7 linked regions of the Rattus norvegicus genome follow. The protein of the gene in region 3 purifies or fractionates together with the protein of the main gene of each other region. This does not show direct contact. Links are inferred from orthologs where the notes say so. Each region holds a gene or a part of one and is shown on either strand. Other genes may lie near its edges.

The links.
Region 1: the proteins of Keap1 (region 3) and Slk purify together in Homo sapiens (affinity purification with western blotting; 3 studies listed by BioGRID and IntAct, with this or other methods). This does not show direct contact. The link is inferred for Rattus norvegicus from reciprocal best matches to the Homo sapiens genes KEAP1 and SLK.
Region 2: the proteins of Keap1 (region 3) and Tsc22d4 purify together in Homo sapiens (affinity purification with mass spectrometry; 4 studies listed by BioGRID and IntAct, counting the BioPlex papers as one, with this or other methods). This does not show direct contact. The link is inferred for Rattus norvegicus from reciprocal best matches to the Homo sapiens genes KEAP1 and TSC22D4.
Region 4: the proteins of Keap1 (region 3) and Pgam5 purify together in Homo sapiens (affinity purification with western blotting; 6 studies listed by BioGRID and IntAct, with this or other methods). This does not show direct contact. The link is inferred for Rattus norvegicus from reciprocal best matches to the Homo sapiens genes KEAP1 and PGAM5.
Region 5: the proteins of Keap1 (region 3) and Gabpa purify together in Homo sapiens (affinity purification with western blotting; 3 studies listed by BioGRID). This does not show direct contact. The link is inferred for Rattus norvegicus from reciprocal best matches to the Homo sapiens genes KEAP1 and GABPA.
Region 6: the proteins of Keap1 (region 3) and Niban2 purify together in Homo sapiens (affinity purification with mass spectrometry; 3 studies listed by BioGRID and IntAct, with this or other methods). This does not show direct contact. The link is inferred for Rattus norvegicus from reciprocal best matches to the Homo sapiens genes KEAP1 and NIBAN2.
Region 7: the proteins of Keap1 (region 3) and Mcmbp purify together in Homo sapiens (affinity purification with mass spectrometry; 3 studies listed by BioGRID and IntAct, with this or other methods). This does not show direct contact. The link is inferred for Rattus norvegicus from reciprocal best matches to the Homo sapiens genes KEAP1 and MCMBP.

Annotation. Positions count from the first base shown.
Region 1 is NC_086019.1:256,449,639-256,453,138, forward strand, and holds part of Slk (STE20-like serine/threonine-protein kinase), read left to right. Parts: intron 1-2,396; coding exon 2,397-2,576; intron 2,577-3,500. UniProt on the Homo sapiens protein: Mediates apoptosis and actin stress fiber dissolution.
Region 2 is NC_086030.1:24,586,007-24,589,987, reverse strand, and holds the start of Tsc22d4 (TSC22 domain family protein 4), read left to right. Parts: upstream 1-1,181; 5' UTR 1,182-1,658; intron 1,659-2,093; 5' UTR 2,094-2,364; coding exon 2,365-3,108; intron 3,109-3,981.
Region 3 is NC_086026.1:28,051,243-28,055,320, reverse strand, and holds the start of Keap1 (kelch-like ECH-associated protein 1), read left to right. Parts: upstream 1-1,278; 5' UTR 1,279-1,554; intron 1,555-1,695; exon of another isoform or gene 1,696-1,835; intron 1,836-2,873; 5' UTR 2,874-2,920; coding exon 2,921-3,559; intron 3,560-4,078. UniProt on the Homo sapiens protein: Substrate-specific adapter of a BCR (BTB-CUL3-RBX1) E3 ubiquitin ligase complex that regulates the response to oxidative stress by targeting NFE2L2/NRF2 for ubiquitination.
Region 4 is NC_086030.1:52,067,858-52,071,822, forward strand, and holds the start of Pgam5 (serine/threonine-protein phosphatase PGAM5, mitochondrial), read left to right. Parts: upstream 1-1,165; 5' UTR 1,166-1,245; coding exon 1,246-1,433; intron 1,434-3,923; coding exon 3,924-3,965. UniProt on the Homo sapiens protein: Mitochondrial serine/threonine phosphatase that dephosphorylates various substrates and thus plays a role in different biological processes including cellular senescence or mitophagy. Modulates cellular senescence by regulating mitochondrial dynamics.
Region 5 is NC_086029.1:37,373,976-37,378,067, forward strand, and holds the start of Gabpa (GA-binding protein alpha chain), read left to right. Parts: upstream 1-1,292; 5' UTR 1,293-1,685; exon of another isoform or gene 1,686-1,746; intron 1,747-1,984; exon of another isoform or gene 1,985-2,121; intron 2,122-4,092. Other genes in the region: Atp5pf (ATP synthase-coupling factor 6, mitochondrial), read right to left, coding at 1,115-1,292.
Region 6 is NC_086021.1:36,619,912-36,622,468, forward strand, and holds the end of Niban2 (protein Niban 2), read left to right. Parts: intron 1-224; coding exon 225-814; 3' UTR 815-2,057; downstream 2,058-2,557. UniProt on the Homo sapiens protein: May play a role in apoptosis suppression. May promote melanoma cell invasion in vitro.
Region 7 is NC_086019.1:192,712,882-192,716,381, forward strand, and holds part of Mcmbp (mini-chromosome maintenance complex-binding protein), read right to left. Parts: intron 2,139-3,500; coding exon 1,960-2,138; intron 724-1,959; coding exon 600-723; intron 1-599. UniProt on the Homo sapiens protein: Associated component of the MCM complex that acts as a regulator of DNA replication.

The sequences.
Region 1 (3,500 bases), on a different chromosome or scaffold from region 3:
CACAAGCATCAGAGCTGGACACAAGCATCAGAACTGGACACATAGGCAGGATGCAAGCATCAGAGCTGGACACATAGGCAGGACACAACGCTTGCATGGGATTTTCTGGTACCATAAAAGCTGCTCCGTTTGGGAGGAGGCTTTCAGGTTAGATTCAGCCTGGGTCTTCTTCTGGTCTGGTGTATGAAATGGGTGGTGTCTTCAGCAATAGGGATTTACCTTCAACTTCTAGGAGGCAGCCAGAGGCAGCTGCAGTGAGCTATAGCATTTTGGGAGTTTCTTGGACTCCCCTGACCAACAGCTCATAAGGGGGCTTCTAATGCCTGGTTTTGGGGTTTTTGTGAGATAGTCTATAGCTTTTGGGGGGAAAAAACATTGTCGGCCAAGGTGGGAAAATTTTATTTAGATTATGCGTGTGTGTGTGTGTGTGTGTGTGTACGTGCACACACACATATATAAACATAAACACATATAGACTTAGATATATTATGTGTATAATTTAGGTAAATAGGTAAAAAGATTTCTTATGACTTTTTCAGATGTTCTTACTATACCCTCCTTCCTCTTACGCATTGACCTTTGTCCCACTTCCCACTCCCACCACCACCCCATTTCTCCCATTTCCTCTTCAAATTACATTTACCCTGCTCCCTGCTACTCTCTTCTGTATTGTACTCACCTTCCCCCATGCTCCTTTGCTAGTTTTCTGGCTTCTGCTATTTTTCTGACTCTAGGTTATAGAGTAAAATGTGAAGATTTGAATTAAGAGCTATCGTGAAGGAGAATATGTGATGTTTGTCTTTCTGGGACTGGATTAACTCAATGTAGTCCTTTCTATTTCCATCCATTTGCCTACAGATTTCATGGTTTCATTTTTCTTAACTTCTGCATAGTATTCCATAGTGTGTATGTATCATATTTTCACTATTCACTCCCCAGTTGAAGGACATTCAGAATGGTTCCGTTTCCTAGCTGTGGTTAGAGCAGCAGTAAGCATGGCTGAGCAAGTGTCTGTATTTAGTAGGATCTGTCAGGTAGGTAGCAAGTATCTGCCAGGTCCTTTGGGCATATGCCAAAGAATGGTCTGTTCAGTCGTGTGGGAGATTTACTTTTCCTTTTCGAGGATTCTCCACGCTACTTCCCCTAGGAGCTGTAGCAGTTTGCAGTCTACCCACTCCCCCACTTCCCCTCCAGCATTTGCTGTCACTTATCCCATTGGTCTTTTTGCCATTCTGATTGGGGTAAGATAAAAGTCTCAAGGACTTTTCTGATTTGTAATTTTCCCAATTGCTAGGGAGTGTGAACATTTATTGAACTATTTCTTAGCCATTTGTTTCTTCTTTTGAAAAGTCTCTACTCAGGCCTCGGTTTCAAATGGGTTGTTGGTTGTTGCTCTTTGATTTTGAGTTGTGTGTTCTGGATATTAATCCTGTCAGAGTCAGAGCTGGTAAGGGCTCTCTTCCATTCTGTGTACCTCCTGTTCAGCTCACTGTTTCTTAGCTTTTCAGGAGCTTTTTAGTTTTATGAAATCCTATTTATCAGTTGTTGGCCTTAATTCTTGGGCAAATAGAATTCTACTTAGAAAACCCTTTTCTATACCTTTATCATCTAGGAAACTGTCCAAGTTTTCTGGATTCTAAAGTTTTAAGGCAATCTAGCTCGAGCTGAGATTAGAACTTGTTTGTGGCTTTTCAGAATTTACTTTCTTCCCGGGCTCGTACAGTTAGTCAGGCCCTCGTGGCCTCGTCACCGCTGCTGTGCTGTGCACTTGTTTCGGAGACTTTGAGGGCTCACTGTGTTCGCAGTTGGGAGGGGAATTTAGGAATGTGGTACAGAATCTCAGTAAGGTTGGTTGAATATCTAGCTTGATGTATGTTAGAAGAAAAACATTTAGAATAATATGGAAGTTTAAGTTATAATCCTTTGCAGTCTTGTGTTAAGTGTTGAGGACTGTGGTGTGTGGCATTGTTGATTTTGTGTTTGGTCACCACAACAGTGTCCTGAGAAAATAATGAGAGATATTCTCACCCAGAGCTTTCGTGGTCCTTTTATTCTGTTTTCCATAATTTTAGAAATTATGTCTTCCCTGCATAGATTTTTGCAAACTGTTTTGTTTTCAGTTTCTTTTATTTTTGAGAACTTTGTTTTGTCTTTATTTTGTGAGACAGTGGCTCAGTATATAGTGTTCATTCTTATCTTTTCAGGTGCTAGAATTGCAGACATGTGCTACCATGCCTGGCTTCAACTTCCTTCCTTCTCTCCTTCCCTCCTTCCTTCCTTTCTTCCTTCCCTTCCCTCTTGCATACTTTGTAATAAGTTTTTCTATATTGAAGATTGTGCCATACTTGGATATTTGATGATTAGTTAGCATGCTAGCAGACTGCATTGTTTTACAGAGTAAGAAGCGACAATATGACCAAGAAATTGAGAATCTAGAGAAGCAGCAGAAACAGACAATTGAACGACTAGAACAAGAACACACAAACCGCCTGAGAGACGAAGCTAAGCGCATCAAAGGAGAGCAGGAGAAGGAGCTGTCCAAGTTCCAGAATATGCTAAGAAACCGAAAGAAGGAGGTAAGGGTAGCTATTGTTGTTAACTACCACAGCCGCTTTTTAAAATGCAAATCGCAGACTAAGGAATTAGGGATAATTGTGGGTGACTGAATAGTACTCATTTATTTGTTCCTCTGTTCTGTCTTCCAAACAGTGATAGGCTGGCAGTTAATAAAGTCAGATATTATCCTCATTTTGCTGGCAAGAAATCGGGAATAAAAGAGGTTTCAGTGCCTGTTTTTGAACTAAGTCTTCAAATACAGTCCAAGCTGTATTTCTTTCTGCCATCCCTTCTTATTAATGCGATATTTAGGGCCTTCTTTGGAAATACCTTTTCAAGAGAACTTAACTTCTTTGGTATTTACTGGTAGCAGCCAGAATTATTATTTACAATTTACTTGACATTTGAATTTTTTTATTAGGTTTATTGATTTTTTTTTAAGACATTTTACCAAGCAAAACCTGAATAGCTTGATATTCAAAATAGCACCTCTTACTATACCTTTGGGGAAAAAAAATTATGTGATTATAACAAGGTTTTGACTTTCCCGAGCTGCTTCCGGGTTGTTTTGTAGCTGGTTATCAGCTAGTAAAGAGGTTCCTAGATTAAAATCAAATACATCCAAGCGATTGCCAGTGATGATTTTATGATTTGTTTTACATCTGCAGTGCAGGTGAGGGATTTACATTTTCAGTATATAAACAACCCCAGGGGAAAATAATTACGGTCAGATCTATTAGGGTTGAAAGAAAATATCTCAGCCAAACTAGGAAATACATTTTCACTTTTGTTTCATGTCTCAGTTACCAAGATTTTAGCATCTGACTTACACATTTAATTAAGAGGAAAACTGAACATCATATTATTAACTCCTGAGGATATATTCAGGTAGGACTGAGCATTAACAGCAAGTACCTGATGCTGTCCTTAGGACTGAGCATTAA
Region 2 (3,981 bases), on a different chromosome or scaffold from region 3:
AAGCCGGGGCATAGCCCTGTGTGCCTATAACCTCAGTGCTGTGGAGAAGAGATGGGAGGATTATTGGGGTTTGCTGGATGCCTACCAAGCTGTGCGTTCAATGAGAGACCCTGAGTAGGACACCCAGTGTGGTCCTCTCACTAACAAACACACAGGTGTTGCAACCGCTCATGCATATGCACACATGCCACACACACACACACACACACACACACACACACACACACGTGTCCTACCACCAACAGCCTTCTTGTATGGTCTGCTTCTCCAATTTTCCCTTTTAAGAGAGGGAAAGACCGTATCAGAGGCTTGATTTCCAATACAGGAGCATGATAGATAGGATGGCTCAGTGGGTAAAGGGCCTTACCAGCAAAGGACCCCCATTATTAGTGGAAGAGAAAACGAACTCCTCCAAGTTGACCTCCAGATGTATACACACACACACACACACACACACACACACACAGAGAGAAAGAGAGAGAGAGAGAGAGAGAGAGAGAGAGAGAGAGAGAGATCCAAATATTGCAGCAAAATCCGAGAAAAGATATTGGAGGGACGAAAACACGATTGGGCAAAGCTGATAATTGTTACAAGTCCATGATGGCGCGCGTGGGCGTTCATTATCCTATTTCCTCTACTTTGGGGCATGTTTGAAAATTTTCATAACCGCTCATTTTTCAAAACAGAGTGGGGAGGGGGAGTTTCTCGTGAACTTACGGTGAAAACCAGAGACGCCGTGACAAATCACAGCCAGTGGGTCACACTTACTAGGTATTTATAAACAGCCAGGTACCCAGAACATGTCCAGCACGTTCCTTGAGACTCTTTTGGAAAGCCTGCAGCCCAATGGCACCAAAAGCCCACAAGTAAGGGAATCCCTGGCCTCCCGCAGGCTCCTCCTTTTTCTCTCCGCCCTCCATGCCCCTCCTTCCGAGGAAGAGTTGCCCTGAACCTGGCAGGTATAGGGTTAAAGCAGCCAGTTTGGGGCCGCAGCAGCAGCAGAAGCAGCAGCGGCGGCGGCAGCAGCTGCAACTGTAGGCTGCGGCTGCGGCTGCGGCTGCGGCTGTGGCAGGCCTGGCTCCGGGCCAGCTGGCAGAGAGCCTCAGGAGGGAGGAGGGAGGAGGGAGGAGGGAGGAGGGAAGAGGGAGGAGGAAGAGGGGAAGGAGGAGGAGAGGAGCAGTGAGCAGGCCCGAGAAGGCAGGACTTCCTGGTGTGGGGGTTGTCAACAGCCCAGAAAGAGAGAGCCCGAGACCCAGACTGAGACGGAGCGGAGCGGAGCTGAGGAGCCGAGAGATACATCCAGTGGGGCCACGTGGGAGGAGCCTTGAGAGAGAGCGAGCCACTCAAGGGACTGGAGTCAGCGGGGGGCTGAGCCGCCCCCTCCCACAGCAACAGAGAAGACCCGTGGAGTGTTAACGGAGGCTGCGCCTGGGCTCCACCGTGGAAGCGCTGGTTTCTTCTCGTCTCAACTGCAAACTTTCCACCGAGATGCCTCGCAGAGTGAGATGCGGACGCCAGAGAACACTGGGCAGCCCTTGACTGCTGCCTGCCGTGGCCTGCGCTAGGCCGCCTTAGGATTAAAAAAAAAAAAAAAAAAAAAGGCATCTTTAGTCCCCAGGTCCTCTCTCCAGCTCAGCTCGGTGGCCGAGGCCCGAGAGGTAGGTAGTTTTCTCGGGCTGGGCGGGGCGCGCTTGGCTTGGCGGGCAGTGCCTAACCAGCGATGGGGGAGCTGGAATGGGGGTGGGGTGGGCTTGAGGCCCAGCAGAGGCCTCAGGGTGGCCCTTTCAGGGGAGGAGCCGGTTCACCCCTTTGCCCCTGGCCCTGGAGATACGTGTTGGGGACGACTTTGGATTTCAAGCATGAAATGTTCAACTTTGGGTCCCAGCTGCTTCTTCCTGTTCTGGGTGCTTTGAATTCTGTCCCCTCCGCTCCGGTCTGTCATTTCTACTTGTCTCTGGGTCTCTAGTGGCTTTCTTCTTCCTCCCCCCAGTCGGCTCCCCCGAGAGGAAGCCCCGGAGGTGGTTTGGCCCCTGCTTTTTCTTTTGCTCACGTACACACACTCTCGCTCACTTTCTGTCTCTTTCTTTTTCCAGTTTGCAAGCTCAGCTCTGGGGTTTCAGCAGCGACAGCAGCAGGAAAAACCTGCCTCTGCTCCCCCCCCCCCCCCTCCTGCCACCTCCCCTCTCCAGTCACTAACCAGGCACCCCCAAGTTCCCACAAGGCCCTCCTGCCATGACGGACCCAGACGTCCCCAGGGGCCCTGATGTCCCTGCCATGTGGCCCCCTTGTTCCAGAGGTGCCTGAGCCCCTCTTCAGGAGCCCAGCCCCTCCCCCACCCCAGCCCAGTCCGGAGCCCTAGGGACCATGAGTGGTGGTAAGAAGAAAAGTAGTTTTCAGATCACCAGCGTCACCACGGACTATGAGGGCCCAGGAAGCCCAGGGGCTTCGGACCCCCCTGCCCCTCCGGCTCCCGCTGGGCCCCCGCCCCGCCTCCCCAACGGGGAACCCAACCCTGATCCAGGGGGCAGGGGCACCCCCCGGAATGGCTCTCCGCCACCTGGAGCCCCTGCCTCCCGTTTCCGGGTGGTGAAGCTGCCCCAAGGTTTAGGAGAGCCTTATCGACGAGGTCGGTGGACGTGTGTGGATGTTTACGAGAGAGACCTGGAGCCCCCGAGCTTCGGTCGGCTTCTGGAGGGAATTCGAGGGGCCTCAGGAGGCACCGGAGGCAGATCATTGGATTCTAGGTTGGAGCTGGCTAGCTTGGGCATAAGCACCCCTATCCCTCAGCCAGGCCTGTCTCAGGGCCCCACCTCTTGGCTCCGCCCGCCCCCTACTTCTCCTGGACCACAGGCTCGATCCTTCACAGGGGGGCTGGGCCAGCTGGCAGGACCTGGCAAGGCTAAGGTGGAGACGCCCCCGCTGTCAGCCTCTCCACCCCAGCAGCGCCCCCCAGGGCCTGGGACTGGAGATAGTGCTCAAACCCTGCCCTCCCTGAGGGTAGAAGTGGAGTCTGGGGGTTTAGCAGCCGGAACCCCTCCTCTGTCACGGAGAAGAGATGGAGCAGTTCGGCTGAGGATGGAGTTAGTTGCTCCAGAGGAGACAGGGAAGGTAAGAGATGGGCTCATGGGGGGCGGGGCAAGACCTACTGTACTCAGTCGTCTGACCTATATCCTGGGCCTCCCCACCTCAACTTCCGTCTCCCCCCCCAATCCCCTATATTGGCTGCCTATTGGGTAGAGCATAAAGTCCCCTTTTCCCTTTTTACAGTTTGAACTGTGAATCCTTTCTTTTTCTGTCCCAGGCCTTCATTACTCTGCACACATTTACACCTTCCTTCCTCCTTCCTTCCTTTTCCCCTTTCCGTCTTTTTTTCTTTTCTCTCCTTCCTCTGTGGCCTTCACACTGTTGCCCTTGGCCCTGACTGTTTCCATAAAACCTGTGGCCGATGTGGCCTGCCCACTTCAGCCTTTACCTTCTCTGGCTCCAGGTGATGAGGGTGGAGGTTCCAGCCTGGTGGCTGGCTAGGCCCTGGAGGGGAGGAGCTGGCAGGGGTTTGGGGCAGCCATAAAAGGTAGGCATTCCTCTGGGTCTTTATTCTAACCAACAGCTACCAGCCCAGCCCCATTTTCAGCCTTACTGCAAACCAGTTTCTCTGAGGAATTGGGGTAGGGGGTGGGGCATATCACCCTTGGTTGGTTTTAGTACCCTAGACCTGGGCTTCTGGAGTGTGGGATGGGGTGACCTCATCGACCATTGAGTGGGAGGTAAGGAAGCAGTTGGGAAGGAGTTAAATCCTCTGCACTTTCTGTTTCCTGTCTCCAAAAGAGGAAGCTACCCACAAGTCTGGGCTGGGGGCAGGATGCCTATGTGCCTGGTGTGTGTGTGTGTGTGTTTGTGTGTTTGTCTATTTGTCTATGTGTGTGTGTGTGTGTGTGTGTGTGTCAGTGTCTGTGTCTGTCTATGTGTGTGTGTTCAGTGTGT
Region 3 (4,078 bases):
CCTTATACAGACATACATGCAGGCAAAACAGCAATGAACATGAAATTAAAAATAAATTGAAAGAAAAAACCCAGAATACACATTTGTAATCCCATTGGAGAGATGGAGACAGGAGACAGAGTTCAAAGCTAGCCTGGGCTAAAAATGACATCTTGTCTGCACCAGTCAGTCAAATAATATTAAATTTTTTTATTTATCTTTATTTTATGTGTATGGGTGTTTTGTCTTCATGGTTGTGGTGCTTGTGGAAGCCAGAAAAGGGTATGGGATCCCCTGTAACTGGAGTTATAGGCGTTCATTTTGACCCTAATACCAGTTCCGGGAATTGAACCTGGGTCCTCTGAAAGAGCTGTCAGTGCTGTAATCACTGAGCCATCTCTCCAGCACCAATAATAACTTTATTTTCCAAAATTAATTTATGTGTGCATGTGGAGGTTGGAGGACAACTTGGAGGAGTAAGTTTTTTACTACCACGTGAGAAACAGGGATGGAACTTAGTTGCCAGAATTGGCCAAATCTTATAGGTCAAGAAAATAATTTTCTCTCATAAATGCCTTTGTAGCAAATAAGAATCTCTTATCATATATATATATATATATATATATATATATAATGAGAAATGCAAAGAAAGGCAATTCTGGGCATTCCAACTCTCCAACACCCTCAGATGAATGCCACACCTCTCCTCATGAAAAAATGACTACAGAGAGAGGAGAGAGGAAAGTGGGCTGCTGTTGCACCTTGCAGGCTCCACATAGGGGAAGAGAATCAGTTTCTGCCAGTCATCCCCCGACCTCTACACACAAGCATACACACAAATAAATTAATGTACACAAAGCCCTGCGTGGTGTCACAGCCTTTAAACCCCCACCCCCCCACTCCCCCTCACCCCGGCACGCAGGAGGCAGAGCGAGAGGCAGAGGCCAGCCAGGGCTATGTAATGAGGCCATTCTCAAAAAAGAAGTTATAAGGCTGGGGTGCTGGCTCAGCAGTTAAGAGTACCTGTTGCTCTTGCAGAAGACCAGAGTTCAATTCCCCCTCTCCACAGGGTGGATAACCTGTAACTTTAGGGGGCACTGCACGCCCACGGGGCACAGACATACACGCAGGCAAAACACCCACACACATAAAGTAAAATGCGAATTGAAATAGAAACCATTAAAAAGTTATTTTAAAGGAAGATCTGTATCTCAACCAGGTACATAGGTCTGGCTGGGCCGGGTAGGGTGTGGGAGGGTCCGCTGGGGCAGGTTCAGCTAGAGGCGTACTGGACAGCCTAACCCGGAGGCAGGCTCCTAGGGCCGCCCTGACCCACGCCCTGCTCCCTCCGCCCGGCACCTGCAGGAAGGGCTGGAACCGCCTCTGCGTGCCCGCCGCCTGTTTCCGCCCTCCCGCTCCTCCCACGCGTGCCGCCCGGGACCCCGCAGCACCGCTGCCCCGATCCGAGGCCCCCTGGCTGCCCTCGGCTCCTCCCGGAAGCGCGGCGCGTGGCGGCCCGGCGGTGCGGATTGGACGCGTGGCACCAACAGAGACACCCGGGGGGGTGGGACGGAGGTGAGCGAGCGCCCGCGGAGGATGCGGTGGGGAGCCAGCTCCGGGCGCCGCCCGCGGTCGCGCGTGGGGACGTGCACGCGGTGGGGGGAAGCGCGTGACCCCTCCAAGTGCGCACCCGCGCCCAGCCCGTGCACCCGCGTAGGGTGGTGGCCGAGGCGAGTCGAGGGTAGGGGTCGCCCGCGGCCGGCGCCCCGGGACTCTTATTGTGACAGGGTGGTGCGCTGTGCTTAGTCACCGTGACCCGCGCGGCGGAGGCGGAGGCAGAGCGCGGCCATGGCGGGGTGAGTGCGCCGCTCCGGGCCGCGGCCCGGGACCAGGCCCTGCGGGCTCTCCAGGCGTCAGGGCTGCGCCTCCGAGCGTTAGGGAGGCCGCTGGAGCAGGCACCGGGTACCGGGTGGCTGCTGCTCAGCCCTCTGCGCAATGCCAGGCCCGAGCTCCGGCAGTGTGGTCACGCGTGACAGTCGCTCACTTACTGGGGCCCCTGGAGCATTTCATCGTCGTCCCCCCCATGGTGACCTAGTAGACATAACACTGGGGGACGCGACTCCAGGCTGAGCCCCAGAACCTGGGGAGCCAGCTGCAGGCCCTCTCTGTGTCCCCACATCTCCTTTGAAAGCATAACTCCTGTCCTGGCCCCAGGTCTCCAAGGGTCTCCTGAATCCCTCACCGTGGGTGTTCCAGAGGCTGCACACTCTGCCCAGGGCCTTGGTGCTCGCCTAGTGTTTTCTATACAGACCTTGCTTTATTTTCAGGCCTTTTCTGTCTTCCTGCTGTGTCCCTGGAGCTCAGAACAGTTGCAAGTATAAATGGCAGGCTCTGTAAATTTTGGTGAGGTGTTGAAGAAAGGGATTTGACATGTCGGATGAAGGGAAGGGAAGCATGGCTGGAACTGAGTGAAGAGGTCTAGAAGGGGGTGTGGAGTTTTACAGGCCATTGAGGAGCTGGGTTTCCACTCTTGGGCTCTGGGATAGGTATTGGGTGATTCTGAGCAGGAAAAGGAACGGCCGGTGATTTGAGAAGAAGTCAGTTTGAATGGAGCCGGGTGTGTCCAGTTCACTTGGCTTGACAAAAACTGCTCTAGAAATCATTGCTTAGTCTAAAAAAAAAAAAAAAAATTAAAGCTTGGCTAGATATGGTGACACAAACTGTAGTCCCAGTACACGGGAGGAAACAGCAAACAGCCTTGTTTACATAGTGAGTTTGAAGCCAGCCTAGGCTAAGACCCTGTCTCAAAAGAAAACAAGAAACAAACAAACAAACAAAAAAAAAATGTGGCAGGGTCTGGCCTAATCCAGCCCTGTACTCTTCCCTCCTTCCAGGCCCCTAATCGCTAGTGGTGGAACTGTATCTTGTCATCAGGAACCCCATGCAGCCCGAACCCAAGCCTAGCGGGGCTCCCCGCAGCAGCCAGTTCCTGCCCCTGTGGTCAAAGTGCCCGGAGGGGGCAGGGGACGCGGTGATGTATGCATCCACGGAGTGCAAGGCGGAGGTGACGCCCTCGCAGGATGGTAACCGAACCTTCAGTTACACACTAGAGGATCACACCAAGCAGGCTTTTGGCATCATGAACGAGCTTCGGCTGAGCCAGCAGCTCTGTGACGTGACCCTGCAGGTCAAATATGAGGACATCCCAGCTGCCCAATTCATGGCCCACAAAGTGGTGCTGGCCTCCTCCAGCCCAGTCTTTAAAGCTATGTTCACCAACGGGCTTCGGGAGCAGGGCATGGAGGTGGTGTCCATTGAAGGCATCCACCCCAAGGTCATGGAGAGGCTAATTGAGTTCGCCTACACGGCCTCCATCTCCGTGGGCGAGAAGTGTGTGCTGCATGTGATGAACGGGGCAGTCATGTACCAGATTGACAGCGTGGTCCGAGCCTGCAGCGACTTCCTCGTGCAGCAGCTGGACCCCAGCAACGCCATCGGCATCGCCAACTTCGCCGAGCAGATCGGCTGCACGGAACTGCACCAGCGTGCTCGGGAGTATATCTACATGCACTTCGGGGAGGTGAGTAAGACCTGGGGTTTGGGCTCAGTTGTCACAAGAAGTGGGATGGGCCAGCATAGTGCTCTCCGAGACTGGAGCGGCCATTCAAGGCTGGAGGAAGATTTCTTTTTTTCTTCCTCCTTTTCTCCATAGGGCCTCATGTAGCTCAGGCTGGCCCTAATCTGGTTGTGTATCTGAGGATGGTTTTAAGTTCCTGATTCCTGTGTCAGTCTCCCAAGTACTGTAGTCACAGACTCCCAGTATACTTAAGAGATACTGGAATGGAACGCAGAGCCCCAGGACTTGGTTTTACTTTTGTTTTTAAATCTTTTTTTAAAAATTCATTTACCTTTATTTTGTGTGCATTATTGTTTTGCCTGAATGTTTTTCTATGTGAAAGGGTCAGGTCTTGGAGTTACAGACAGTTGTGAGCTGCCACGTGGGTGCTGGGATTTGAACTCTGGTCCTCAGGAAGAGCAGTCAGTAGTGCGCTCAACTGCTGAGTCATCTCTCCAGCACCTTAGATTTTATTTTTTTTGG
Region 4 (3,965 bases), on a different chromosome or scaffold from region 3:
GGCTGAGGCCCTGTCAGGAAAGCAGACTCTTACGGACAACTTGCCACACTGCCCTCCTGGCAGCCAGTTTAGAGAGATATCAGGGCCCACTATGCAGGCACCTCTGCAGCCACAGTGGACCACCAAAACTTCTGTTGAACACTTGCTTCAATCGTGATCAGTCCAGACAGCCTCCACTGACACTGAAAAGTAGTATGAACAAGACATGCATGCTGGTGAACGCCGATGACCTTGCGATAATCTCATCCAAGCCAGATGGAGAGCACTTCCTCGGTGGCTCTGCAGAAAGCCTGTGGTTGATGCAAACGCATGAAGGACTGCCAGGACTGGGACTAAGACCCTTGCCACATCCCTTTTCTCTTTATATATAAGCCAACTGAAGCTCACTTTCCAGTCAGTGGAAATACAGCTTCTTGTGTCCCTTTATTTGATATTACAATTTCAGGCCTTAAAGATTTTTGTAAATAGTTTAGTTTATTTTTATTAGTAGTAGGGTAGGCTGAGCTGGTTACACAAAAAGGCTGACTGAGGCTAGAGAGAATAGAGAGCTGAGGTTATAGAAGGCTGTGGAAAAAATGAGAGATTCTGTTGCTAAGAGTTTTAGGGCCATTTTAGTCATTGTCAAAGGCCAAGGGTCCTGAGAATGTCTGAGGTTAGGGGTTCATTCAGGAGCCTTATTACCTTATTATTACCAAATGCCTGCTGCTGTTCACTACTGCTCAAAGCTAAAAATTATAATAGCTGCCAAGTGCTGGGCCTGTCGGTAGTTAAAGCCCAGAGCAATAAGCCCAAGCCTATAAGTCACTGGGCCTGCTAGTCTAGTCCCTAGGCCTTGAATTTGGCAGGGTCTAGAACTGCCAGCACTGGAAGGGCAGGTGGACACTTTTCCTACACAGAAAGACCTGGTCATTTGATCAATAACAACTAGGCAGAGGCGCGATGGTAGGTGTTAGGAAGATGTATACACTTAAGGATTACAAAAGAAAACACAAAAAACTTTAGATCTAGAGCAAGAGCCAATCCTGAGGTTTTTCAATTCATATAAATCTAATGCCTGACTGACTTCGTCCCCCTGGAGTCTCACCCGCCAAAGGGCAGGCATCTGCGCCTTCTACCCTAAAACCACCGGCAGGTGGCACTCCTTATCGCGTTTCCTGCTGTTTCGGGGAAAGGGGTGGGACGTCCACTAGCCGGAAGCGGAAGCGTGTCCCTGGCATCCCGCCGTCCGGTCGTGCGGCTTGCGGCATGGCTTTCCGGCAGGCTCTTCAGCTGGCGGCCTGTGGTCTGGCGGGTGGCTCGGCCGCTGTTCTCTTCTCGGCGGTAGCGGTAGGGAAGCCGAGAGCTGGCGGGGATGCAGACACGCGCACGACAGAGCCGCTGGCCTGGACCGGAGCGCGCCCCGGGCACGGCGTCTGGGACTCCAACTGGGACAGGTGCGGGGACGGGAGGGTGGGGCTCAGGCCTGTGCCCTCACATGCATCTCGGTGTGGCAGATATCGGTGCCCTGAAGGGGACGGTGTGTGTTAGTGGGTCTTGAGTTTGTGTGAATCGGGGCGACGGCCCTTTGAGGGTTCCCATACCAGAAGGTGCATCTTCCGAGGGTCTTCGTGCCTGGACCATCCATCCCTCTGAGGGACCTATACTCGCTCGGACCCCATCCTCGAAGAGTCCTTGTTCAGAGACCGTCCACCCGAAGGACTTCGTCCCAGGACCTTTGTGGGCCTGAAATTCTAAAGGCTTAAATTTTACTTATAGTCAGGGTCTTGATCAGGTTTGCCTCACAAATTGTCCTGATGCAGCTTGGGGGAAAATTGGGACTACGAGCTTGCTTTTCCTCCAGAGTCAGAGAACCTGTGCTTGAAATAGAACCAAGGGAACCCATGGAAACCGGGTATAGTGGCGTAGGACTTTAATCCCAGCACTGGGAGTCAGAGGTAGGCAGATCCCTGAATTCTTGGCTCTGTAGAAAAACCCTGTCTCTAAAAAAGGAAAATGAAGTTACCTGATATTAAATGTTTCATTTTTTTTTTTTTGCCATGTCTGCATATGCAGATGGACCGGTAGGTACAGTGACTGGATCTTTGTTAGGTGGGGGAAGGATGCATGACAGACAGATGGATAAACAAGACAGGAAGGGACTAAAACTGGCATATCCACTTGGTTTCTTTCTGCTGTGCATTCCTCTCTGACAGTCCTCTTCAAATTTTGTCTGGTCCAGCCAGCCCCACACATTCCTGTATCTGCAACAAGACTTTGGCTTGGTTGTATATGGGGCTAACACCCCAGGTTAGCCTGCTCAGATAATGCTTGAGCCACCACCAAACTCTGCAAACCTTCCTCTTCACCATTGCTGTCATTTGTCCTGTTCCTGCCTCCTACATTTAGCTGAGTAGCTTCAGTTTCTTCAGCTCCTACATCCAGTCCACTAACTGCGGTCCTCAGCATTGTGATGGTCACTACCTCGTGACTAGTGAACATTTAAAGTGTGTTTAGTGTGACTTAGAAAAGAGCTCTATTTTTATTTAGTTTTAATTTAATTATAGTAATCCCTCTAATGCTGAAGGATTGGTTCCAGGGTCTCTGAACATATCAAACTCTGTGGATGTTCAAAATGATGAAGTATTTGCAGATAACCTAGACATCTAGCTTATCCTCCTGTATACGTTAAGTAATTCCTAGATTATTTACCACCCCCAATACAATAAAATTGCTACCTAAGTAGATGTTAAATTATATAGCTTGAGGTAAAAATCACATACAGAAAGGTCTTTTTAATTCAGGTGTGAACTTTTGAGTATTTTTGATGCCCGGTTGATTGAATATTGAGTATGGAATCTTCAGCTACAAAAGACCTAAGCATATTCAATTTACTTATTCAACCTGGCCTTTTGCAACCCTTCCTCCTCAGCTTTCCATGTGTGAGGAGTCCAGACTCATACTATGAGAAAATAGAGCCAAGGGCCCATGTCTGATATTTTTAATTTACATTAGGGATGTTTGTGCAAGCTTGTCCTCCTTGTGCTTAGAAGGCTGAAGTAGGGTTGCTGCGATGTCAGCCTGAGCTACACTGAGAGGGCCTGTCTTACCACCAACAAAAGGAGTGAATGAACAGCCATGGGCTGGAGAGATGGCTCAGTGGTTAAGAACACTGACTGCTCCTCCGTAGGTCCTGAGGTCAACTTCCAGCAACCGTATGATGGCTCACAACCATCTGTAATGGGATCTGTTGCTCTCTTCTGGTGTGTCTGAAGATAGCGGCAGTTTACTCATATGCATAAAATAAATAAATCTTTAAAAAGCAATGAAACAGCCCCATGACTACCGGAGTCATACAGACAGTCCTGTTCTAGGCTCTGTTGCAATGCAACTTTCCATTCTTACCCCTGTCCTATCACTGCTTGCATATTTGTGGCATTATTGACAGTTTTCCTTTTTTTCCTTCTCGTGCATGTGTGAGTCTGTGTGAGAGCCTGAGGCACATAATGGAAGTTCTTTCTTGATCATACTTCAGATTTATCGTTTAAGGCATGGTCTCTCAGTCAAGCCCAGAACTTGCTAATAGAAGTAGTCTGACTACACAGCTTCTTGTGGGCATCCTGCCTCCACATTCTGAGGGTGGAGTTATAGGTGGGTCACTATCCAGTATTTATGTGGCTTCTGAACTCCAGTCTTCCTGCTTGTATAACAAGCACTTTAACCTCTGAGCCATCTCCCCAGCCTGTCTTCACAGAAACATGAGCCTAAGGCTTCATGTTCTATGCACACATCTGTATCACCCAGAGCAAGGCTGGCCTTCGGGAAGAGTGAAGATGTGCTCTGTGAGGCTAGGCTCTCTGGGCTGGGCTTCCCCCCTGGCCTTTTCCCAAGCACTGAAAGGTGTCTTGGACAAGAGGTCACAAGACAAGACATACTTTCATAATTAGGCGAGAGCCACTGTCACTCATTAACCTGAAGAAAAGGAACGT
Region 5 (4,092 bases), on a different chromosome or scaffold from region 3:
TAAAAAAATATGTCTAAAAGAGGTCATTGTTTACCTAACATTCTACGTCAACCTGCTTCCAATCTAACTGCAAGACCGTCATTTCTTTACAAGACGGGCAAGATAATTTTCACTTTCAAAAATGCATCATCAAAACAATGATTTCCAATTCGAATTTCTAATTTATCTTATTACTCCAAACATACGTGTAATTGTCCAAACAATGAACAAATACTCTCTTACCAAAACTATTTGTTGCTTCTTCTTTACTGCCTTTCACTTTTTCAAATTAAATAGAGAATGTTACCTGTTCACTATCACACAGAAGCCAAATGTCATCATAAGTGTAAAACACTATCTGTGACAAATTCTGTATTCAATTAATATCCGGTGCTAGCTAGCTGCTTGTTAGGGGTCTGACATTAAAAATATTGCGGGGAAGCGTGGGGGAAAAAAATCAAAGTTTAAACCCAGAGGAGAAGCCTTGTGAAGAAGCATGGCTCTTTGACTGACCAGCCCAGCCAAAGGCTAGTCCTTTTGCTGCCTGTGAATATCTAATCATAAAGTCAATCAACAAAGCTGTTTAAGCACCATAGTTTCTAGACTGGAGACAAACTTTTAGGATGTCACCATTGCCCTTTTCTGTCTTAGTTGGCCACGACCTGCTCATGCATAATTCACAAGTTTCTCTGCCCTGACCTTGGGTTGCCCCAGGCGAGGCATACACCCCGCCTTTTTTTTTTTTTTTTTTTTTTTGCCGTTCAAGAGCCCTGTTCTGCTCTCAAAAGGGTATTAACGGTCTTATTTATTGGGCGCAAAGCAAACTTTAATACCCAGCAGGGCGGAGGTCACCTGTGACCCCAGGCCAGGCCATAAAGGTGCCAAGGACACAGGGCTGCTCTCTACTACTAGGGCAGAGGTGATGGGCTGCCCTTGCCTCGTGAAGAAACCCAGAATCGCAGTCCCAAGAGGCCAACCTAGCCTAGTTACCCTCCCAGTCACCTTGCACTGAGTCCCGAGCTGCCAGAGTCACCGCCGCCGCCACCGTTCTACTTCCGGCCCTGGCTCCGCCTACACACGCCTACCCGCCATCGCAATGCACTATGGGCCACCGCTTCAGTCGTTCGACGCTCACCGGACAGGAAGCGCCTCGAAGAGAGTCTGCGACCGGACGCCTCTAGGTGAGACAGAAGCCAAACAGGAGGAGGAAGTGGAGGGTAAGTGCTTCCGGGTCCCTCAGCTAAGACTCCGCCATCTTTCCTACACTTAACTTCACCCTCTTTTCCCTCTTGGAAACACTGCACTGTACGCATGCGTGCTTTGGCCTGTCCCCTAATTCAAGCTCCCTACGGAGTCAACGTCCTGATCCTTGGGGTTGGGGAGGTGGATGTAATGTGGGGTAAAACGAGCGCGTAAAACAAAGCGGCTTGGGGCGTTTGTGCCTCGCGAGCCCCCGTTGTCACGGGCGTTCGTGTCGCGCAGCCTGCTGGGAGTTGTAGTTCCAGGCCCAGGGGTGCCTGGGAGGCGGGAGAGGGGCTGGGGTTCCTTAGCGCCGATTCCGCGGGAAGGGCCCCGGGGCCTCACACTGCTACTCGCGGGACCGGCGCGTCTTACCCAGAGAGACGCTGTACCTGGAGCCCGCGCCGCCGCCGTTCCCAGCCGGCTCTGGAGCGCGGGCGAGGGCCACGGGGCGGATTCCGGAGCTGGTGAGTGCGGCTGCGGGCTGGCGGGGAGCGCGGGCCCGCGCGGCCGGCCTGGTTCCGGGGCTTTCCCCCGCCGCAGCCCCCCCGCGGCCGCCTCTGTGTTTTGTTTCCGCTGGTCCCCGGCGCTGTGACTCCCATTTCCGTTCGTGGAGACTTGAGGGAGCCGGGTGGGGAGGGGCGGGAGAGGCTGTGCGGGGAGCCGAGGGGAGGGGCGCGGGAAGCGGCGTGGCCGGGGCCGCGCTGCGGGACGCTGCGGAGTCGCCCGTCGCCAGGCACGGTCCAGGCTCTGCGCGCTGACGGTGCGCATAGTCCCGGAGCTCCCGGGTCTCTCTGAAAGATGCCAGGCTTGCCTATCACCGCACTCGACCATCCCCGCACTCCAAACCCAGTTGCTTTTCTGGAACTGTCTCAAGAGTCGCACCGGTGCCATCATTCTAATGTACAGGATAACTTTCTGTTTCTTTCCCGAAGATGTCAGTGAAAGTTAATATGCCTTTCCAACTTTATCCCCCTCTTTTTGTGGTGTAGTGCAGTGAACACAACGAGGGAGTTTAGTGATTCCACCCTTAGGTTAAACAGCATCGAGAGTGGTGCCAACGCATCGTTTCATGATAAGCAGTCATTTGAAACTAAATCCTTAGGTAGGCCAGGGAGATGGTTCGACAGGTAAAGGCATTTGCTGCCAACCAAGCCTGACTGTTCAGCCTCAAATCCAGGTGGAAGGAGGACAGGACTGACTGGCCTCTGACCTCCACAAATGCGCACAAGCACCCTATAAAGTGTTTGTGTTTGTGTGTGTGTACACACGAGTAAGTTTGTGTTGGGTGTGTGTGAGTCAAATTCTAGCCTGGCTGACCTTGAACTTGCCGTGTAGACTAGACCCGCCTAGAGTTTAGAGGTCTATCTGCCTCTACTTTCAGTGCGCTGGTATTAAAGGCGTGCTCTACCATGCCTAGCAAAATAAGTGCAATTTTTTTATTGGTTATTTTATTTTACATTTCAAAAGTTTATGTCCCTCTTCAATTTATGCAAACTGGTAGCTTGAGCTAATGATAGGTCTGACTGCTGTCAAGAGCCAAAGCATACAAGTCCACCATTGATTGTCACATTCTTAGGTGCCCCACTCCACCAGTCACTGGCCACCTTGTTAGCACCCTCTCCCTCGGTATTTGTATGAATACTTGAATGCCAACAGGATTGAAGTCCATTTATCTGTACTCAAGAATAGAAGTGTAAGTGGGGGTACATAGTCCTGACAGTGAATTAAGTACTAAGTGAGATAGCAAGTTTGAGGAGCTTGGGGAGCCAAGTACTGAATCAACCTGAGTCTCTGGCAACTGTACAACAAACCTACAGGACTGAAAAGGAAATCAGTAGTTTTGAGAACTCGTATGCTTTTCACCAGAAGGGGATTGGGGGCAGGATTTCAGACAGGGTTTCCCTGTATACCCCTGGCTGTCCTGAAAATGTTTTCTGTAGACTAGGCTGGCCTTGAACTCAGATGAACCTGCCTCTGCCTCCCAAGGGCTGTGATTAAAGCATGCACCATTGCCATCTGGCTCAGTTTTTAACTTTTTAATTCATTCATTCACTTTACATCCCAGTCGTTCCCCTCCTTGCCCTTTCCCCCAAATCCCTCACCCCATTACTCCTTTGAAGGGAAGCCCCGCTTCACCCCACCCTGTGACATCCAGTCACAGTAGGCCTTAGCCTATCCTCTCCCACTGAGGCCTACTGGGCAGTCCAGTTAGGGGAAGGGGATCCAATGCCAGGCAACTGACTGAGACAGCGCCACTCCAATTGTTAGGGGACCCACATGAAGACCAAGCTGCACATCTGCTACACATGTGTAGATGGTCTAGGTCCAGCCTCTGTGTGTCCAGGTTAGTTGACTCTGGAGGTCTTCCTGTGGTGTCCTTGACCCCTCCAACTCCCTCATTTTTATCCCCAACTCTTCCACAAGACTCCCTGAGCTCCGCCTGATGTTAGGCAGGGGTCTCCACATCCATTTCCATCAGCTGCTGGGTGAAGCCACTCACAGGACAGTTATGCTCGGCTCCCATCTGCAAGCATAGCAGAGGATCATTAATAGCAGCATTGGGGCAGTTTTTAACTTTTAATCAGATTTGTGTTTTGTTCTTTACACACACAACACAGATGCACATACTATACTTTTTTCTAATGTTGACCATATATTCTAGGAAATACACAATGCACCATGGATAGTTACTTTTAAATTTCATTTTGGAATAATTTACATTTGTGCATTTCTTCATACCCTGGATTCTTTGATTTACTTTGGTGAGCTTCCTTTTTCTGTGCTGCTGGGCTTTGCCAACTTTGGTAGTTGTCCCAAGTTAACTGAAGACTTGATCTATTCCACTTATTAGTCCCTTGTCATTTTCAGGAG
Region 6 (2,557 bases), on a different chromosome or scaffold from region 3:
TCTCTGTGCCTTAAGTTTCCTCTCTGGTTCCTGGCTTTGCTGAGAGTGATCAGTGAGGGACGTAGTGGCTGCTGGCTTGGTTTCCAGGCTTGAGTTATAGTTTTGTGGCAGGGAGACCAGGGTCCAGGCATAGATCACACTGGGGGGGTGAGAAAGGGCCCGGGAGGATGTCAGGTTTGCTATGACGGTCCATGCTGAGTGCTGTCTCTCTTGGGGTCTTGCAGCTGTGAAGGAGGCGGCAGTGCAGCGCAAACATAACCTCTACCGGGACAGCGTGGTTCTGCATAACAGCGACCCCAATCTACACCTGCTGGCTGAGGGTGCACCCATTGACTGGGGCGAACAGTATGGTGACGGCGGTGACGGCAGTGACAGTGGTGGCAGCCCCTGCCCCTCCGAAGCAGCCACCCTCACAGAAAAGCGCAGGCGTGCCAAGCAGGTGGTGTCCGTGGTCCAGGACGAGGAGTCAGGGCTGCCCTTTGAGGCTGGCTCTGAACCGCCATCACCTGCATCCCCGGACAATGTCACTGAGCTCCGAGGCCTGTTGGCCCAGGATCTGCAGGCTGAAAGTTCTCCACCAGCCAGCCCCCTCCTCAATGGGGCCCCGGTCCAAGAGAGCCCCCAGCCCATGACAGTCCTAGAGGCTTCGCCACCAGCCTCACCCCTCCGGCACCTCCCACCTGGAAAAGCTGTGGACCTTGAGCCCCCTAAACCCAGTGATCAAGAGACCGGGGAGAAAGTGTCTAGCCCTGGTAGCCGTCCCCCCATCCATACCACCACCGAGGACAGCGCAGGAGTGCAGACGGAGTTCTAGGCATGGCCTCCCAGCTTCTGTTGGACTCTGCACTGGGGCGCTTCTCCTTGGGCACCGCAGCCTCATCTCTGGGGAGGGGTACTCCAGTCTGTGCCTTGTGGAGAAGGTAGCTGGGGTGGTGTGGCACCTCCAGGGGTCTGGCCTATCCAAGTCACTTTATGGGGTTTAGTACACCTGTTACTGCCTCGTTTTCTGTGGGCTGGTCTCCGATGCTAGGTCTGGTTTTGAGGGTTTCCTCTTTGTGCAAGGGGCTGGGGAGCCCCTCCATCCTGCCCTCACGCTGTTACCTGTTTCCCTCCCGGTGGTTCTTGACGGAGGTAGATGAAAGCATTGGTGCAACTCATGTCTAGGAAGCTGGAAAGCTGTCATCTCACTCTGGGGCCCCTTGCCTAAGTGGCAAGGAAGAGGCGGAGGCCTGGCCTCTGTCCTGCCCACTCCCTGCAGGTCCCAAGGTTAGACAGACACTAGAGTGCTCACTGGCCACACTTTGCGGGTTACTGGTGCGGGAGGGCGGGGCTTAGGGGTCTGGTAGGGGAGCGATGGAATGAGAAAGGCCCAGAATGTGTTAAGTCTGTGCAGGGGAAGTGTCCTGAGGGGAGGGTCTTTGGGAGGGTCGAAGGCCAGGATGGCAAAGTGAAGGTAGCTGAGGTTGCAGTCTTGGGTGCCCACTGCTGTGCATCTGTCTGGTTATCTACCCCTACTTTGGGCTGACAACTGCAGGGTTGGGTGTAGGCTGTCTCACTGCATGCCGGGAAGCTGGAGAAGCTCCACGGGAACATTGAGGGCCATGGCTTTGAGACACTGCAGAGCATCCTTGGTCTCTGTAACTCACGTCACCTAACCCTGACAATTCCAGACCCTTCTTCCATTGTCCTTGTGAACCATTTGGGCTTATCTTTCCCTCTTAGTCGCAAGGGTCAAACCAAGGGTCAGTCAAGTAGATGACTGTCACCTTGGGCCTCCCCAGACTCTGCTGCCGGGGTTGGGAGACCAAAGTAGAAACTGCCACTACAAGGCCCCAGGATGAGGTCTCTGTTCTGTGGACCTGCTCCCCAGATACAGGCCTCAGACCCATAGGACGTGGCCGGTGCTCAGGGACACCCAGTCCCCGGCCCTCACTCCATCGAGTACTGACTTCTTTCTCTAGTGCCTTGGGGGTCTCCATCCTTCCAGTTATGGTATGAAGAATCTATGCAAACTGTATAAGCTTCTGCTCACCAATAAACGCTTTATTTAAAGCTCATTTTCTTATGTGCTGCTGGGGTGGGGGAGAGCTGGGCCTAGGGTGTCTAGGGATCCATTTACCTCAGCTCTCTTGGGCTCATCATATGAGCTGCCAGGTCCCTGATCTGCGTACCTGCACGTGTGTGTACAGGTACAGATTTGCATGTGCATGCAGAAGCCAAAGGATCCAGGCCATTCCGCCTTGCGGTTTGAGAGGTCGCATTAGCCTGGAACTCACTAATTCGGATTGTCTGGCTGTCTGGTGAGGGCCAGGGTCTGACTTCAGCCTCCTCAGTGCTGTGACTGCACACTGGCCTGGCCCTGTGAGTTCTGGGGATGCAGACTTCCAAATGCCAACCACTTTACTGAGGTCTCTTTCTCTAACCCGTTCTCACACTGTCCTAGAGGAGGAAACTGAGGCTCAGAGAGGAGGGGAGAGACCACAGCTTTTGGGTGACAGCCTCCTAATGGCTGATCAACTCCAGTGTCCACCATGAGGGTGGGTTCCCGGTCCATGCT
Region 7 (3,500 bases), on a different chromosome or scaffold from region 3:
GTGTGCACTTCTAATTCCAGCACTTGAGGCAGAGGCTGGAAGAGACCTGTGAGTTCGACGTTAGTCTAGTCTACAGAGCTAAAGACGAGCAAGGCTAAACAAACAAACAAACAAACAAGCCAAAAACAAAACAAACAAAAAACATGTCTCAAAACAAAAACAAACAAACAAAAACAAAATAAAAAATTGAACCAAAACAGGGTGGAAGCATTAAAGTCAATACACAAACTAAATGTACACAAAGACAGACTTCATTGTTTTATAAGCAGAGCCTGGAGAAGTATACACACATAAACAAGCAAACAGGGTATAGGGAGGAGACCAGGAGATACAACATTTGAAGTATATACAAAATAAAAAATAAAACGAGTGCAGAGAAACCAACAGTTCGTCTTACTCATCAGTCACATCCCATCTGGAGACGGAAACAAATGCGTTATGTGAAACGAAGTAAAGTGGGGAAAGGAGTCTGTGTTTGGTGCAGCATTTGTAAAAACCCACTTGAAGACAAAGCTGATTTACTAAAAGACACAAACAAACATCACGGCTGTTCCCTTCTTTCTCCCACACCCCAGTTCCCAGGAAGAGCACAGACTTACACGGTGGAGATGAGATGCAATATAAGGTATTCAGCAGCCAAACTGTCTCCCAAGAGTGCATGAGTGAGGAATCCAAGCAGCTCTGCTCTGACTGGAGACAACTCGGACATGAAATTGGACACAACTGCAGAAGGAAGGAATGGCCAATGAGAGTGTGCACGTACAAGAGCAGGAGGGAGTACTACAATTCTTGAGACAATGATGCCATTAGGGTAAGGCAAGATGGCTCAGAGGGTAAAGGCATTTGCCACCAAGTCTGATGACCTAAGCTTGATCCCCAGGACCCATACAGCAGCAGGAGAGGTGGATTTTCTAAGTTTTTCTTTTACCTCCACATCTGTGCCCTGACACACGCATATTCTACTCTTCCTCAGTGGGAGGACCCTCCAGAATATGCCAGAGATCTAGGAGGTAAGAGACTCTCAGGATTTAAAGGAAGGGACCTGAGATGAAATAAATGCCCTACAGTGGGGAGAGAGAACTTGTACAGTCACCTCCAGCAGAAAGACAGGACATCAAGTGGGATGGGGTTGGCATCCCAGTCAAAAACTCTTGACTCATAATTGTTCCTGTCTGAAAAATCTACAGGGACAAAAATGGGGAAAAGCCTGAGGAAAAGGAGGTCCAGCAACAGGCCCAAAGTAGAATCTAGATCAAGGAGAGGCACCAAGGCCTGACGCTATTACTGAGACTATGGGATGCTCACAAAAAAGGACCTATCATGACTGTCCTCTGAAAGACCCAACAAGCAGCTGAAAGAGTCAGATGCAGATATTTACACCCAACAATGGACAGAAGCTGCTGACCCCTGTGGTAGAATTAGGAAAAAGCTGGAGGAAGCTGAGGAGGAGGGTAACCCTGTAGGAGCACCTGCAGTTTCAATTAAGTTGGACCCCTGAGATCTCTCAGACACTGGACCACCAACCAGGCAGCACAGACCAGCTGAGATGAGGCCTCCGACACATGTACAGCAGAGGACTGCCAGTCTGGGTTCAATCAGAGAAGATGCACCTAAGCCTCAAGAAACTGGAGGCTCCAGGGAGAGTGGGGTTGGTCTGGTGGGGTAGGGGGTGGGATGGGGACATCTTCATGGAGACGTGAGGGGGAGAGGTTTGGGGGGTATTCGATGTGCACCAGTCAGAGGGTAAATGAGGAGGGGGGATAAAATCTGGAGTGTAAAAAAAAAGATTAAATAAAATTTAAAAAAATTAGAAAGTGACATAGACGTGAGAACAAAGACAATCTATACCCTTCGTCGTTTAGGTCTCATCTCCCACAGACATGACTAGAAAACTCCCTGTGCTGAGCAGGGACTGCAGTTCACACAGGGAACCTGCCATCGGTAGGCCCCAACACTCACACTGACAGGTTCTGCTCTCCTCCTTGTTAAGGCAAGTGGGTAACAATGGATTGATGTGCTGCAGCTTCTGGGCTAAAATCACGTGAATTCTTGGCACTAGTGAAGCGGGAGGGCTATGCACTCTCTGCTCTTCGGCCATGTCCGTGCATTCCATGGGGTCCAGCAGTGCAGAGGCATCCCTGGGGAGAGAGGGATACATTGGTTTAGAGATGTCAACTAGCAAAAGTGTAAAAGTAAATGCACTCTGTAGACAACTCAGAATCCTATTCGAGGGGTTCTCTGTCCCTCACTCTAAAGTGCTTTTATCACTCACACCTGCCAGGTCAGCGTACAGTCACTGGGTTTATTCTACTGCCAAGACTGGGTGTCTGACTTACTGCCATGGGTGGTGCCGTGTACATGACAGAGGATGTCACTCAGAAGACCATGTCAAAGCAGATGCTCCTTGCATTCTCAGCAGGTAACGACACTGGGATCTTTTTCTCCAAAATCCACAGGTCTTTATTACTTAGTGTGGAGACCACTCACTTTTATCTTGCTAATGGTCTTTGCGTAACTTTATTCTGATGTGATACTTCTTGAAAGTGTGAGCAAGTGATTAGAAGAGTGTGAACATTCAGGCTTGCTAATCAACAAACATGATACTCATTCTGGAGTCACTGCACAAATGACTAAAGTGTGCGAAGTCTTCAACACTATACAAACTGTCAGATCTCACGAGACAAGTTCACAAATTTGCTCCCAAATCTGCCCCAGTCTGTGCCCTTCCCCTCTGAGCCAAGAGGCCTCAGTGGTCAAGTAATTTACAAGGCAAACTGTTGGTTGTGATGACACACACCTTTACGACCCTAGCATTAGGGAGGCAGAGGCCAGACTGGGCTACAGAGTGAATTCCAGGCTAGCCATGGCTACACTTGAGACAACAAGAAAATATTTGCCAACATTTTGGTGTTGTGGTTGTTTCCTTTTTTTCTTTTTCTTTCTTCTGTTTATGAGATAGGGTCTCACTATGCAGTCCTGACCATCCTGGAATTCACTATGCAGAACAGGCTAGCCTTAACTCATAGGTCTGCCTGCCTATGCCTCTGGAGAGCTGATAGTTAAGGCTCATGCAACCATGCCTGGCTTTCCCAGTATTTTTAAGTATGAAGATTATTGGGCTCTTGCTCTGTATGTAGAAGGCCGATGATGGGCCTGCTGTAAGTGAGCTGGTGGCACCTTCCTTCCCTTTTGCTCTGTATGTAGAAGGCTGATGACGGGCCTGCTGTAAGTGAGCTGGTGGCACCTTCCTTCCCTTTTGCTCTGTATGTAGAAGGCCGATGACAGGCCTGCTGTAAGTGAGCTGGTGGCACCTTCCTTCCCTTTGGCAAAAGGAAAGATGGAGCAAGGTCTACGTCACCACGTCTGGTCCAGACCACACAAATACACAATACCCTCCTGAAGGAAAAAGGACTGTGATGAACATACATGGACAGCTATGTACAAACACAGGAGGGACAGCCAGAGACTAGGAAGCTGGGTCCCAGCAGTGAGAGACCAAA